3 linked regions of the Caenorhabditis elegans genome follow. The protein of the gene in region 2 interacts with the protein of the main gene of each other region in a pairwise test. Each region holds a gene or a part of one and is shown on either strand. Other genes may lie near its edges.

Region 1 (5,350 bases), 1.2 Mb from region 2:
GAAGACCAATAAATTGCATAACGAATATTGCTGAGAAATCATCACGGAATACAGTGAATGCGAGACATGTTTCCAGAACTGCATGCCATGTACGTTCTGACAGATGCTGAAATTTATTTATGTTCAGTACTGATTTAATATTGAAAATTACCTCAGCCTCTGCAGCTCTCAAATCTCCGAATAAAATAGACTTGAGCAATTGGAACATGAGATATACAAGAACAATTCCTTGAACATATATCACTGCCATACTTGCATTGCTTTTTGAGAGATATACGATTGATGGATAGAACTGTTTGTTGATCAGGAACGCGTTGAGTATGGTGGCCGCAGTCGCCACACACGAGCCACCAATCATTAGTCCAGCTGATACCCTCATCTGAATTCCGAGGGATCTGAAAATAATTATGAACCAAAAAATTACAATAATAATAATAATAAGAAGTAAGAGTTGGTTCAAAATACCATGAATATAAGAAATAATATGAATAGTTTTGATTAAAATTTAAAAAGCTTTATGCTAAAAATAGAGAAGATTTTAATCACAGGCGGAGTTCTACCATCAATTTCCGGGTCAAGACAGAGAAGTAAAAGCTAATTCATGGAAATAATAGTAGAGGAAAATAATGATTATAGGTGATAGGAGAAGCAATTTGAATTTACTTTTCCACTTTTTTTACAATAGACACATTCAAACAAGTCAGCAATCACGGAAAAAAAAAGAACCAATGAAAAATGGAAATGTTTAGGTGAGGAAAAGAACAAATACAACAAAGAAAACCATGAGAACTCCAAAAACTTGAATCATTAACCATCGATTTTTGCTAATATTTTGAAGATATCTCACAAGCTCTGAATGTGCCATATCAATATTAAGAGCTGTATCTTCAACATTTGAATCGATTCTTGTTATCATCTCTCCTTGCTCACTGACGAGTGAAGCCAGTTGAGAGAAAATTTGGCCAAGTTCGGAGATGGATCCTTCAATTGTCGCCATGGTGTTGCTACGGGCTTGCGCATATTCCAATGATGAATCTCTTTGTTGCTGAAAATATTTGTTTCTTGGAAAGTGTTTAAAAAAACTAACTATATTCTATCTATTTTTTTGTTTGATTTTTGAGCAATTTACAGTTTTCACGATTTTTATGTTTTCAATAAACGCTCAAAAATGTCTACAATATTCTATCAAGTCATAATTTTTGGTTAATACTATTAGAAATATAATTTTTAAATTTTTAAAGAAAAAAACGAATTCCAAAGAAAATATTAACATTTCCTAACTAAAATCATAGAAATCTTACAAATTTTTTGTAACATCGCAATTTTTCAAATGTATTCTTTGCTGTTCTAAATTAGTTTCGATAAAACTTGCTTTATTGGCAAAAAATATTAATTTTTAAAAAAAGTTTCACTGTACTTCTCCTAAACACGGAGCATTGGAAATTTAATATTGATAGTTTTTCAAAAAAAATTTCATATTTTTCAAATTGAAAACTTACCATAGTCTGTTGTGATTGCATGTTTGACAGAGCACCCATATCCAGAGCTATGCTTGAGGAGCCATGCTGCTCATCATCTTGAAGAAGCTTTGAACGAACTAAAATTTCAGATTTTTATTGAATGAGCGAGGAAAATAAAATACCATTAGCTCCGGAAGAGGAGGAAGGAAGTCCCATTGGAACTGCTGCACCACTCGAGAATTTATCTCGGCGATTTTTTTCAGCCTTCATTGTTTCTGTACTAATTTCCAGTACGCTTTGATAATCTTTTCCGACATTCGCTAATTTTGACTGCAATCCAACTACAACTAATTGTATATGTCCACTATTTTGATTTTTCATGTTTCCTGCACGTCTTTTTGAAAATTCTTGAAGTTGTCCGATCTGTTTGTTCAAACCCGTAATGTCAGACTTGACAATTGATGAAAGATGGTCAATTTGAGATCGTTCTTCATAGCAGCTCTTTTTCTTAGCATATTCGGCAAGTTTTTCCATTTTTGCACACGTTTGACTCAATTCTTTTCCGATTCGCTTTGCGAGTTGATTGAACTGCACGGATTCAGATAGCATCTCATGCTTTGGTTGAGGTCTAATTCCATTTGCGGCTGCTTTCATCTGAAAAATTATATGTTACCCGAATTTTATATAAATAATAAAAATATTATCGCCTAGAATGTTTTTAAAAATATTAACAGGTGATTCGTGTTTCTTTTTTCTGTTCGAAGTGTATTTCGAGTTTCGCAAAAATCGATATATTCGTCTCGTCCAAATGTTGATGTGAAACCCGAATAACACGTTTTAAAAGTAAATGTTTCGAAATAAAAGCTTATTTTTAGAAGTTTAATGAAAAAACTCACTTCGTATGATTTGGCTGTCGCCCGGAATTCCGAAGTTCGATCTCTTGATGGCATTGTGATAATGATATGATCAAGTGGATTTCCAAAAATACTCAGCGATTCAAGTGTTTCTACTACCTTTGATCGATCTGCGTCTATGCTTTCAGTGCCTTCCGCTGTGTCGTAGGAGGATACAAGCGCCTCCTGAAAGATATATGCATGAAAAAATAAAAACCAGAAATATACAGATAGCCATCTTTCTTCGTTCCGATAGACAAACCTGCGCAGAATTCCAAAGTTGTGAAGCTGACGCGTTGAAAACGGTTGTGAGAGAGCTATACGCGAAACTAGTCGGAGCAACTGCTGAAGTGTGATTCTTCTGATCTGGATCGTAATCAAAATCGACTGTTGAGTAAGAACTGGCTTCTGGTATTCGTCGACGAGATCTAATGTTGTGAAAGTCCGACATCCGACATCGAACAAACTGAAAAATATTGTTTAAATGACTGAAAGCGTCGAAAAGATTAATATATTCAAATGTCACGGTAAAAATATTATTTCAAAAGAAAAACAAATAACAAATATTTCGCTGCATTGTCGCAACAGTCCACTAAACCGGCTCGACTTCGTGGAGAAGAAAATCAATGTGTGGTCGGAGGTTGTGCGTGGCGTTGCGTATTTTATGCGCAACAAACACGCTCCTCAATGCACTAGTTTTTCTTTTTTTTTTGTTTAATTTTCAGTTTAAGTTTTATATTTCTCAACCAAAATGCTCAGTCAAGTTAATTTTATTAAAAAAATACACATAACTTTTCGTTTCGATTTATTGTTTTAAGAAATTTCAGCGATTACCGTAAGATTTGGAACACGTTGCCTCCCGATTACCGTATCTCCCCGTAAATCGACACAAATAAAATAACAGCTTCCACTTCACGCTTCCGTTTTTGATTCCGTTTTCTGTATTCTTACTTAGTTTTGTCTATATTTTAGTGATTATAATATTACAGGAATGGCAGCCAACATTTTGGTGGTATCTTGCCTCATTCTTGGTTCCTTTGCCCACCAACCACAGCAGTTTCCTGGTTCTAATCAACAGCAACCACAACAGGTAAACAATGTTTGTAAAGAATAATAAGAAAATTATTTTCGCTAGAAATTGAACTGAAAAACAATCTGGATACAGTGATTTTTATTATTTTAAAGCTTCTTTAATTTTGTAAATTGTATTGAATAAATCAGGGTGGCCAAGCGGAACAAGCTCAACATGCTCAGCCTGGGCAACAGCAGTTTGGTGGAGAACAGGCCAGAGATGAACAGTAAGTTTTAATAACAATTTTCAAAATTAATTTAAAACATTTCAGCCACATAAAAGAACATTTGGACGGAAAAGTGGACCCAACTGCTAACATGACGCCAGAACAACTTCAATTCCATTATTTCAATATGCACGATTTAGATAAAAATGGGAAACTGGATGGAGTCGAGTTGATTAAGGCAATAACGCATTTCCATGCCGAGAATCCAGGACCACAGCATACACAAAATAATGCCAATGCCAATCATCAGCCACCACCACTCCCAAGTGAAGTTGAATTGGAGACGATGATTGATAGTATTTTAAAGTGAGATATATATTTAATTAATTTATTTTCTAGAGACTACTGCTAGCAATTAGCATAAGAAAGCACTAAAATATTCAAAGTCTTAAAAAAATACTTTACTGAATATTTTCAGGGACGACGATTTCAATGCTGATGGCTTCATCGACTACGGAGAGTTCCTCAAAGCACAAAAGCTTCGAGAAGATCAAGCAAGATCTCACCAGGAACAAATGCAGAAAGCTGGTGGCACACAATAATCGAGAATTCTGATTAGGACAACGATCTAATTAATAGCCATAATTTCCAATTCCTCGTTTCCAAAGTTTTCAATGTTTTATTAACATTCTACGTCTTTTGATGGGTTATATCGACTGCTGTAACAAATCATTTTATCATACTATCCTCGTCACTTTTAACACTTTAACTGGTACATAATAGTCAGACACCCTCCCCATTTCCCAGTCCTACAACTTTAGTTATTTTTCCAATTTTGCATTTTCCCCATCATTTCTCAAGTTGTGATGATTTTTCGAAACCCATTTGTAAAAAGCATAATTTATTGGTTTATCTTATAGTTAGTTGAGATCGAATAAAAACAAATGAAAATTTGTATTTAGCACCTGTAACAATAAAATTCATGTTTGCTTTTGCTTTTGCACTACCAAATTTTGCGTTGGAACTAAAAGGCGAAGCAGGGGGAGACTGATAATAAAATATTGACATTTGGCAGTCTTGAGAAAAAGAGTTTTCTGTCTATTTCTATTGATTTTATACATATTCCCACTCTATAATGCGTGGATTTTTATTCATCTCAACTGTATTCCTTCTATTAGGTATGCAAATCTGTTTATAACTTTCTAATGTTTATAAATTATTAAATTTTAGTGCTAGAAGCTCAAGGAGCAAAGTTTGCTGAAGAAAAAGAAGTACACGATGAAGAGTAAGTGCAAGTGTACGTATGAAAATTAGTTTGGTTAAAGTAAATGTAGATGCAATTATATGCCATATGCGAAATTTAGCAATTTTCGCGCTAAAAGCACATAACTCGGTCTCGACACGACACTTCTTGTCAAATACAAGCGGATGTGTGCCTCTAATGAGGACTGTAATTTTTTAATTTCATCGATCTTTCATTGTTGGTACACTATTTTTCAAAATTTATATGATTTAATTGATTTTTTTATTTTGAAAAAATTAACTAAAGCATTTGAGCAAAAATCTATTAAAAAAAGCGCTACAACAACAAAAGTTACTGTACTCTTTAAAGGCGCACATCCGGTGGTGTCAAAAAGTTTCACGGCTGAGAAATAGGTAGCGTTTTGGACATTCCTAATATTGACAACTATTTAAAATTCTACTTTAAAAATGTTAATATTTACATTTTTCCCTTACAGTTAGAAGTTATAGTTAGTTT
Region 2 (5,818 bases):
ACCAAAAAATCAAGCTCATCCAGAAGATGATAAACCACATTCATGGAAGGATGCGCTGTTCGGAAGACGTGCTAGAAAGTATGCCTTCGTATTTATTGTCGCTTTTCTGGCTGTTCTCACCGTCAAAGATGTATTCGACCTGGTAAGTAATTACCTCTCATTATCACATTAGTATTTCCCTTCTGTTCAATTAAAATTGTAGTTCCTAATTTCAAACGACGAATTTACAGTTCGAGGAATACTTTGACTATCCAAAAGAATCGGACATCAACATCGTTTTCAATGAATCAATGACAATGCCAAATGTTACTTTCTGCATGTCTCGACAACAAGCCTGGTCCCATTTCAAATTGAATCTTACTGCGCCCGCGGATGAGTGGGATGCAGTTGTTGATGAAAATCTTGCAAATATGACTGATCACGACGCATTTATGAAGACTCCATGGGATTATCGACTTGTAATGGAAGCATACGACATGATTGCTACATATAGTAGTTTGGAAAGAGAGACAACTGCTCATGGATCAGCACGTTCCATTCACGTGTTTAAAAACGCTCCAAGACTTGCGGCAAAGAGAAAAACGTTCAAGAAATGGAGAGATATTCTCGACTCTCGTGGAATCACATTCGATGAGTTCACTCAAAAGACTGGAATTGAAGTTCTTCGCCGTTCAATGCAAAGATTCAGAAGACGCACGTTTGATGATGATGAAACTGTGATCAAAACGAAACTTCGCATTTCTTGGATTTCCCAGATGCAAATCTGCTTCCAGCCAGAATTCGATCAAGACAATTTTAAGACTATTGACGACCAGGGAGTGTTCTTTGACATGCTTCTTTCTCATAACGCTGAGAATACTGAAGGTCAAAAAATTGACTGTATGTCCGTAGATTTCCATGGAAGACCATCATCATTGAACAGATTCATGGAAGGAAAGGGTAGATCTAGAGATGGATACGTTGATGAGGTAAAACCAGAAACAAAAATAATGGTTCGGTGTATGCAAAAGCAATTATTCAGGTTTGTTTGGGACAGCGTCACGAGGTAACAGCTCATGTCACTGCACTCTATCAAATGTTAGAAAATGACGAACAAGGTACAAGATGCCGTGATGTAGAAGACGGAGAAGACAGTGAGTTCAATTGCCGATCTCGTTGCCGTATGGAGATGATCCGTGATGCTTGTCATTGTACTCCACTTTCATTAAGTTACCTAGCGAAAAAAGAAGACATGGAAATCTTCCCATTGTGTGACTATACACAATGTACTGTCGAGTAAGTTCCAGACACATATTTTCAGATTTCAAGTACCATTTTTCAGTGTTCAAAAGGGTAACTACTCTGACACAGAATGCGCCAACAAATGTTTCCCCGATTGCCGTCAAATTAGATTCGAGGTTGATCACTCTGTAAAAGGACGTATGCTTCGTCCTGATTTAACACTTGTTGAACTTTCCTGGGGTCCATTCGAATATCTGACTATGGAACAACAATGGAAATATAGTGCCACCTCGTTTATCGCTGCATTGGGAGGATCCATTGGAATGTGGCTTGGACTTTCGATTTTGTCACTTATCCAACTCGTAACATATTCTTACACCTACTTCACAAAGAAGATTGTTAATGAGAGAATTCTCAAGAAGGGAAATACTTTTGATAAAAAGGTAGGTCAATGAAATGATTGATATGGAACTAAATATTTAGTGAACTATTATATATTAAATGAAACCCATTTTAGACTGTTAATAAGAAATAATGCAAAAATAGTGAGTTTGTATTTTCAATAATTATGAGATTTATTCTTCTCATTTCTTTCAATTATTTTCATTCACTCGAAAGACACTGCATCTGTGCATTGAAATTCACGAGAACACATTACTTTCTTATTTTTGAACACTTTTCCTACACAAATCTTTTCCACTTCAAAAAACTTTTCAAACACGTTTCCACTCTAATAAATGCACAGGACGAGGGAGACGAGGATGGTGACTTCACAATTGACAACGGAACTGAGAGAAAGAAGATGTCATTGGCAGAGAATCCGTTCGCCGAATTTTTCCCAGCCGGATCACCGGAACAACCGAAGAAGATGGGCTCTAAGCCAAATTCACGTCAAGCATCTCTTGATAAGGCAAGCACTGTCACATGAGTCACTTTTCACCTCTATTTTACTATACTAAAATTATCTTAAATTTGATAATTTTTCAGGATGGAGGCAATGCACAAGGATACAGTTCTAATCCACGAGCTTAAAAACGTTGACTATATTGTTAGATCGATCAAACTTCAATTACTGGTTCTTAATTTCATAATTTTAAATTAGTTGTTCCTCTCAGGTTGTTAATCATCTTCTTTTTCTCTTTTTCCCTCACTTTTTTTTTCCTTTTGTTCCCCCATTCCCAATAATAACCTATTCCTGTGATCTACATGATTCTCTCTCTTGAAATATATTCGAAAACGAAATAAAACGAACTCACCTGTGAAGAGTGAATTTTTTCTTTTCAATTGTTGGAGTATCTCGATCACTTGTCAATCGTATACTTCTCAAACTAGCTGTTTCTTCACTATCTTCAGTATAACTTGCTACCAATGAAGATGTTGGACTTGAATATCCAGCTGGTTGAGAAGAAGTGTGACAACGACGAATGTGGGCTTCAAAATCAAGATCACATACTCCTTCCAGTGGTAGTTTCTGACATACTCCATGTTCTCCGTATCTAAATAATTAGAATATTTCAAACGATAAATTGCAGAAAATATAAAACCGTTCTTCAAAATTAACAAAAAATCTTGTTATTGATTTTTGAACAATCGAAAAATTTCGGTTTTCAATTTTTCAAATTTTGGTTTTTTTTCTTATTTTTAGAAGAAATTTGTTTATTTTTCAAATTTAAATTTAAAAAATTGAATTTTATGGTTAGTTTTCTGAAAGTTTTTATTTTATATGTTTCGATTTTGAGTTTCTTGAGCAAAAATACTTTTTTTTCATTTTCGATTTTTAATTTTAAATAAAAAAAACACAATTGTTTCTTTTTTTCATCAATATAAACAAAATGTGATTTTTAAAAAAGTAATTTTATGGTTTTTTTTTATTTTCCAGAAAATCGAAAAAATTTATTTTTTCGATTTTTCGATTCTCTTGAAAAAATATAGTTAACGAAAAATGTTCGATGACACCCTTGACTGTGATTTAAAATTATATTTAGAATTTTTATTTTTCAAAATTTTTTAAAACATACCTACAAAGAAAGCTACCACCTTCTTTTGTCGTATGATCTTGTCGAATATGTCGTGCAAACTCGGAAGCCGTCATAAGCTCGATAATTGGCTGACAATAATCACATATTCTTGGATAACCAATCTCCGGTTGAATTTTGAGTGAAGCTCTTGATGAACTTGCAGATATAAGACCTACTGTTCGGTCATCCATTGATTTCATTTGTGAATCATTTCTGGAAATAAGAATTAGTAAAAAACTAAAAATTTTGATAGTAAATATAATAATCTGCAAGAGACAGTGTTGAAATCGGAGAAAAATAAAATTACAAACGTTCAATATTCATTATTATGGCTCACAAAAAAAGAGAATCGGAATAGAAATGGTACTTGAGCAGCACTTAGTGCGAAATAATGGAGCGAGAAGAATGAGAAAGATTCAGAGAGAAAAAAGGCTAAAATATTCCCACCACTCGCACTAAAACGTCGATAAAATGTAAAGAACATTTGAATATTAACTTTTTTGACCGAGAAGCTGGGAGTTCTATTTTATACCTGTGGGATTGTTATCTATGAATTTTACTTTTTTCCTATTCTACATCGCAATAATACGCATTATACTTAGCACCAAAAATTGTCACGAAGTGAAACAGATGAATAACAGAGAAAATTGAATTGAATATTGAACAAACCGAGAAAAAAGAGAAGAAAGCAGAGAGAGAGAGAGGTAATACAATTAATATTACAAGTATTTAATTCAGAAAATGGGGAGAAAAAGATCAACGGCGTCCTCTGATGAATCTGTAGGCAAGGTATCCAGAGATAGTCAATGCTCCAAGACCGATTGAAACATACAAAGCTTCGGTTAGCCAAGAATTGCTGAAAGTTATCATTTGGTACTTTTCCGATTTCTGCCCCCCCAAAATGTTTTTTACTCAATATTTTAATTTAAATTCACACGTAAATGTTTATTTCAATACAATTTCAATTTTTAGGCTTATGGGATGATGCAAGTGAATTTCTCGTCATTTCTCGACAAATTTATTTACCAAAATTTCACCAAAAAAATTTATTTACCAAATAATAATATTTAATTTTTTTTTTCTGTCCAGTCAGATTTTAATAATAAAAATCGCGAATTTTTTAATTTCCGATTAATAAAACTTACTTTCTCGGATCCAAAAGACTAAGTGGTTTACGTGGTGTTCTCGGTACATCGTCAATGATGGAATGAGTGGAAGGAGCATAGGAAGTAACACTTTGAGCATCTTCTTCTTCGTAAACTTTTCCACGAATTCTGAAAATCAATAAGAAATAAATTCAGAAAAATTTTAAAATTTACCTTTCTATAACAGCCGAAAGTCCATGAGACGTCAAACGGCTTTTTGATTCCGAATGCGACATCGACTTTGGTGTGTCTGTATTATTCTGAGTACTACGAGTCTGTGGAGTGACTTGAGGAGTAATTGAAACAGAAGCAGTTGGAGTTTGTGTTCGATCTTCTTGAAGATGTAAGTATTCTCGATCAATCAACATTTTAGCCACATGACCGATTTTAACACTTCGAAATACTTCCACAGCTTCATCGTGTGTCTTGTAGGTCATATCGATACCGTCAAACTAAACATTGGAACAATTTAAATTAATAATTACTTTAATCGGAAACTAACCGACAAAATTTTATCGCCTGTTCTTACGACTCCATATGATTTTGACTCGCTATTAACTGATGAGACGTATATTCCGATATCTCCAACAAAGTGAGGATTGTCTGTTCCACCAACTATATTGAATCCGAAACCTGTAAAATGAGTACTATATAGACGTTTAAAAATACAATTTATACCTTTAGATGTTTTTTCTATTTCAACTACTGTCAATGCCTCCAATGGAACAGATTCTTGTCCATTTCCATCTGTAGTCGTATCATTGAATGTCATGTCGTCCGTTGCTTCTGCAGCAAATGAAATATCGAATGTATGATCTTCATCAGCGTGAAATGGGGAGGAAACGAGAGCGGCATGATCTGAATATTCTTACCAACTCTCGAGTCCTTCCATAGTTTAATACTTACGTTCATAAACTGGATCTGAATCGGTATTGAACACTGTATCCTCTTGCGGAGGAGACACCATCATTCTGAACAATTTGAAGATTTTTGTAAATTTCGAAAATCACTAATTCCAAATGAAATAAATAATACACAGAAAACAACTGCTGTAATTATAAACGTAGAGAAATAACACCATTTAAAAATATTTATTCATGTGGTTGCGGATGAATTGTATAACTGGATATGAAATTTCGTTTTCACATTTTTTGGAAAAGAGTTTAAAACTTAGGACTGAATCCGTAAAAAGTGAGAAAAGAGAACGTTGGAAAGAGATAGAAGTGAGAAACCCATATGGATGGTAATCAGTGCTGATTATTGAGCCTGTTGTTCATTAATTTGTAGATGCTCTCCTTTACATATTGCTTATTGTGGGGGACATATGTGTATGTTGTCTGCAATTTTTTTTCCGATATTTAAAATATGTTTTAAAAACCAACATTGTCGAGAACCAGCATTGAAAGATCTTTGAGGTCGTCGATGAACTCGAAA
Region 3 (3,904 bases), 5.0 Mb from region 2:
GGTCTATGACAGCAGTAGCAGCAGCAGCCCGTCAATTTCGTTAACCGGTTGGATCATCTGCGCTTACTCGACCGAATATCTTCTGCTACCTTTTTTGGAGGAGAGAGAGAACAGTCACGCCCATCAGAGCATAACATTAAAAAGACCGACAAACTGGTGTTGTGCAGTCAATTGCTGCCTGATCCAAGTCTACATTCTCGTCTCGTCATTTTCAAAAATAAAATGCAATTATCCAGTGTTTTTTCTCTTGTATTCTCAAGCTTAATCGCGATTTCAAGGTAAGATTCTGTTTGAAATATTGCTTTTAAATGTTTTTATCTCAGAAAATTTGGTTAAATTCGAGAAATCGAAACACCTTTCCCCTGAACCTAGAAAATACAGTTTTCAGTGCTCTTCCAGCATCGTACTCCTCGTCACTCAATGATCCACTTCTGTCAAGCCTCGGGCTAGGTGAGATATTCTTTAAAAACAATTCACACTGCAATATTTTGGAATTTCAGGTTCCATGGGAATGGGCATGGGCGGCATGAATGGAATGTACGGAGGAATGCCACCACCGATGCCTCCACCCGGAATGAGCCCGTATGGAATGGGTGGAATGGGTGGAATGAGCCCATATGGAATGATGGGACCAATGGGTGGAATGGGAGGAATGAGCCCATACGGAGGAGGCATGTCACCATATGGAATGGGATCGATGGGCGGTATGGGATCATCAATGTCCTTCCCATTCATGGGTAAGAAGAAGTAACCTCTGAAAAATGTTGAATCTCTTTATTTATCTGTCGAAGAATCTCATATCACATGTTCGTCTTTCTTCTCCTTGTATAATAAAATTCCATTTAATTTATTTACATTGTTTAACAGTATTGCCACCAATAATAGAAGCAGAACATGAATATCAGGCAACAAATTACACCGATCATAAAGAGTTTCTTGTCTTCTCGCACACGCTTTTCGATGAGTCGAATTGTGGTATCAGATATTCCCAGCTGAAAGATTTTCATCTAATTTATTGAGCGAAACCAGATATACTTACGGATTTGGTCAGAAAATGGAATCGTTTTCGAATGCTCAGCAAGTTGTACTTCTGTTTTTGAAGATCCTCAAAGACGCTTGCACCTTGGGCTAGCATTTGATCGATCTGAAATTTAATATTTAATATTAATTTACATTTATCGATTTCACAAAAATTTACCATATTATCCGAGTATTTCAGTTTATCATTCAAGTTGAGCTCTTCGTCAAATTCCAGATTCACACGCGTTTCTTGATTTGTTGTAAACCTGGAAAGAGTTATTAAAAAAACTATAGATTATTTATTTTAATTACCAACCTCTGTTTCAGAAGTGCTTTCTTTTCTTCTGCTTGCTTCTTTCGATTAGTGTGACGATTTGTCATTGTTCTCAATGAATTTTTGATAAGACACACATCACTTTTCAATTGATCCATTTTGAACGAAGCTTTCTGTCTAACTGGAGCCGGTTCTCTGCCCAGTTGTGATTCCAGTCGAAACATGTGTGTTTCAGTTTTCCTAAAAAAAGATTCTTGTTGGAATTAAATAAAATTATCAGTTTTACATAAGACTACTATTTGCATCCTGAATTAATCGATCCACTTCGTGATTTCCCGTTTGACGTTCAATCGCAATCAAAAGTAGCTGAACATTGTCGATTTCTTCCCTAGTGGCCTTGAGTTGTGTATCCATCGACTCTAAAATATAAAAATAAAATTCTTCAAAGTGAAAGTACTCACTTTTAAAATTAAAAACAAGAAATGCCAGTGAATATTCAGAAAATACGAAATTAGAAAATAAAATCCACGATTTCTCAATGGCATGCCTATGTGACGTCAGCTTACGTTTTTTATGACGTGGAACGGAATCGTAGTTTTTAAAATAATTTTAATAATCATTTCTTTTAATTTGAAAGAAAATTATTAAATTGAAACGTTGAAAAATGATTTCGCTGAAAGATAAAATTTGAAAAAAAATTGCCTCGAAAAAATCTAGTGCAATTGCGCTCTATCGAACATTTGTTAGAGAGTGAGAGACGGCAGAAACCAAAAAGTACGGTAGTTTCTGATTTTTAGAGATTTCAAGTTGAAAAATTAAAATATAAAAATGAAAATGTGCGGATTTTTTCCGCGTTCTGGACATGGCATAACAAATTTGAATGAAGAATATGAGAATTCAAGGAGTATTCATCTGCATCGAAATTTTGAAGTTACAGTACCCTTTAAAGGCACACACCTTCCCGAATATAACAAAAATTAGTCGTTTCGAGACCGGGAACCGAATTATTCGACCTAAATTCGTAAAATTTTGCGTCTGGGTGAGAAAATCACTATTATCTAAATATTTGGGAAACTTTTATTGAAAATTTCATTACCCTTGAATATAATTCCTATTATTTTTTGAAACCTCCTTTTTTAATATAAAATCCCACATTTCCAATATTTAAGAATCAAAAATCCAACTCACAAATTTCCCGTCGAGAAACATGTTTACAACCAGCTATCAACACCCGAAATCCCCACGAGACGTGACCCGATAAAAGTTGAGAGGAGGGTTTATAATGAGCATTTTATGGTCCGGGTGCGTAGCAATGATCTGGCTCAATGGACGAAAAAAGAGCACAAAAAAGAGAGCAAGAATGAGATTGAGAGAAGGACGGGAAGCTTTTCGGTGAGCTTTCCGTCATTTTTTCCGAGTTTCCAAGTGTGCCTCATTTTTGGTGAAAAAAGAAAAAAAGTGTTTTTTTAGTTTTGTCTCTGACGTATGAGATATTCCATTTTATTTTTATATAAATAAATAAGTTAAGATCTTCGCGCAGAAAAGTAGAAAAAAAAGTGTTCGCGTTCTTAGAATGTATTGAAATTGCAAGCAATTTTCAAAAGAATGACTTTGAAAGTGCCAGGTAGGAAGTGTAGGCGACATTTTTTGTCTGATGTTTCATAATTTTTTTCTGCTTTGTAAAATTATTGGCTTTGTCGTTTTTCCAAATGTGTATTGAACCTAGTTTCCATAGCTCAAAATTACGGTTTTTTTTTTTGAAAATTAAAATTAGTTATTAAAAAATAATTTTAAAGTGATCTCTGAAATTTTTAGTCAGGTTTTCTAGACTTGAAATATAATATGAAAGTTGGAGTTCTGAAAATTGTTAAATATTTACCAAAATTGAAAATAAAATTGACGTTTTAAAGAAATTTTTGGAATTTCTATTAACTTCTGTGAAAATGTGAAACGTCACTTCGAAGGCACTAGCTGTTCGTCTGATAATGAAAGGGTCTCGCCACGAATTTAGCTTCTAACTATAACTATCAAGTTTTGCAAAACTTCTCATTAAAAGTGACAATTGAAATGTTAGAATTTTTTTTGAACGTTTTGTTTTCGAAATATATGTATAAGTTTTTTTGAAAAATAAGAATAATCGACTTTTTTACTAAATTTTAAAAATCTTGTATCCCTATTGTGCAAAAAGGCTCCCCGCAATCTATTTGCACTTGAATTTGTTACAAGAAAAATTATATTGTACTTCTGTTAAAAATTGTCACTTCACTTCAAAGGCACGCGCTGTTTTTGTGTGGGTCTTGCCACAACCTCAGCTACAGTAGTCGCTACAAATTTCAAGCTGTAAATACAGAGAAAACCAGAATTTATCAGATTTTTAGCACCTAAAATCATAAGCAAACTAATTTACCGTATTTCCTCTATTAGTCTTGCAGCCTCTATTGGAATTGCATGCAAGACTAATAGAGAGCATACGGTATTAGTCTTGCACCCCTATTCTAGGCAGACCAGCAGTATTTTGTGAAAACTTCAACAATTTCGCCATTTTATAGCTAAATTAAATTTTAAAGTGTTAAAATAATTGATAAAACAATAGAAAAGTATGTATTTTGC

The links.
Region 1: the proteins of vps-54 (region 2) and syx-5 interact in a two-hybrid assay, tested with the Caenorhabditis elegans proteins (one study listed by BioGRID).
Region 3: the proteins of vps-54 (region 2) and memb-2 interact in a two-hybrid assay, tested with the Caenorhabditis elegans proteins (one study listed by BioGRID).

The regions. Positions count from the first base shown.
Region 1 is NC_003283.11:11,762,373-11,767,722, reverse strand, and holds syx-5 (Putative syntaxin-5), read right to left. Parts: upstream 2,820-5,350; 5' UTR 2,805-2,819; coding exon 2,616-2,804; intron 2,540-2,615; coding exon 2,357-2,539; intron 2,115-2,356; coding exon 1,643-2,114; intron 1,598-1,642; coding exon 1,500-1,597; intron 1,046-1,499; coding exon 746-1,045; 3' UTR 501-745; downstream 1-500. Other genes in the region: sel-11 (E3 ubiquitin-protein ligase hrd-1), read right to left, coding at 1-106, 152-379; F55A11.1 (EF-hand domain-containing protein), read left to right, coding at 3,345-3,443, 3,575-3,651, 3,697-3,957, 4,070-4,193; T04F3.4 (EF-hand domain-containing protein), read left to right, coding at 4,727-4,769, 4,822-4,876. UniProt on the Caenorhabditis elegans protein: Potentially involved in docking of synaptic vesicles at presynaptic active zones.
Region 2 is NC_003283.11:10,572,968-10,578,785, forward strand, and holds the start of vps-54 (Vacuolar protein sorting-associated protein 54), read right to left. Parts: upstream 3,453-5,818; 5' UTR 3,440-3,452; coding exon 3,240-3,439; intron 2,718-3,239; coding exon 2,478-2,717; exon of another isoform or gene 2,254-2,477; coding exon of another isoform or gene 2,209-2,253; intron 2,132-2,208; coding exon of another isoform or gene 1,967-2,131; intron 1,767-1,966; exon of another isoform or gene 1,757-1,766; coding exon of another isoform or gene 1,739-1,756; intron 1,665-1,738; coding exon of another isoform or gene 1,322-1,664; intron 1,276-1,321; coding exon of another isoform or gene 1,022-1,275; intron 969-1,021; coding exon of another isoform or gene 231-968; intron 143-230; coding exon of another isoform or gene 1-142. Other genes in the region: del-6 (Amiloride-sensitive sodium channel), read left to right, coding at 1-142, 231-968, 1,022-1,275, 1,322-1,664, 1,967-2,131, 2,209-2,253; mics-1 (PDZ domain-containing protein), read right to left, coding at 3,996-4,095, 4,385-4,513, 4,559-4,836, 4,887-5,017, 5,063-5,242, 5,291-5,354; erh-1 (Enhancer of rudimentary homolog), read right to left, coding at 5,632-5,721, 5,767-5,818. UniProt on the Caenorhabditis elegans protein: Acts as a component of the GARP complex that is involved in retrograde transport from early and late endosomes to the trans-Golgi network (TGN). The GARP complex facilitates tethering as well as SNARE complex assembly at the Golgi.
Region 3 is NC_003283.11:5,617,489-5,621,392, forward strand, and holds memb-2 (Golgi SNAP receptor complex member 2), read right to left. Parts: upstream 1,714-3,904; 5' UTR 1,709-1,713; coding exon 1,581-1,708; intron 1,535-1,580; coding exon 1,337-1,534; intron 1,287-1,336; coding exon 1,199-1,286; intron 1,145-1,198; coding exon 1,040-1,144; intron 993-1,039; coding exon 861-992; 3' UTR 833-860; downstream 1-832. Other genes in the region: M03E7.2 (uncharacterized protein), read left to right, coding at 223-278, 389-450, 501-751.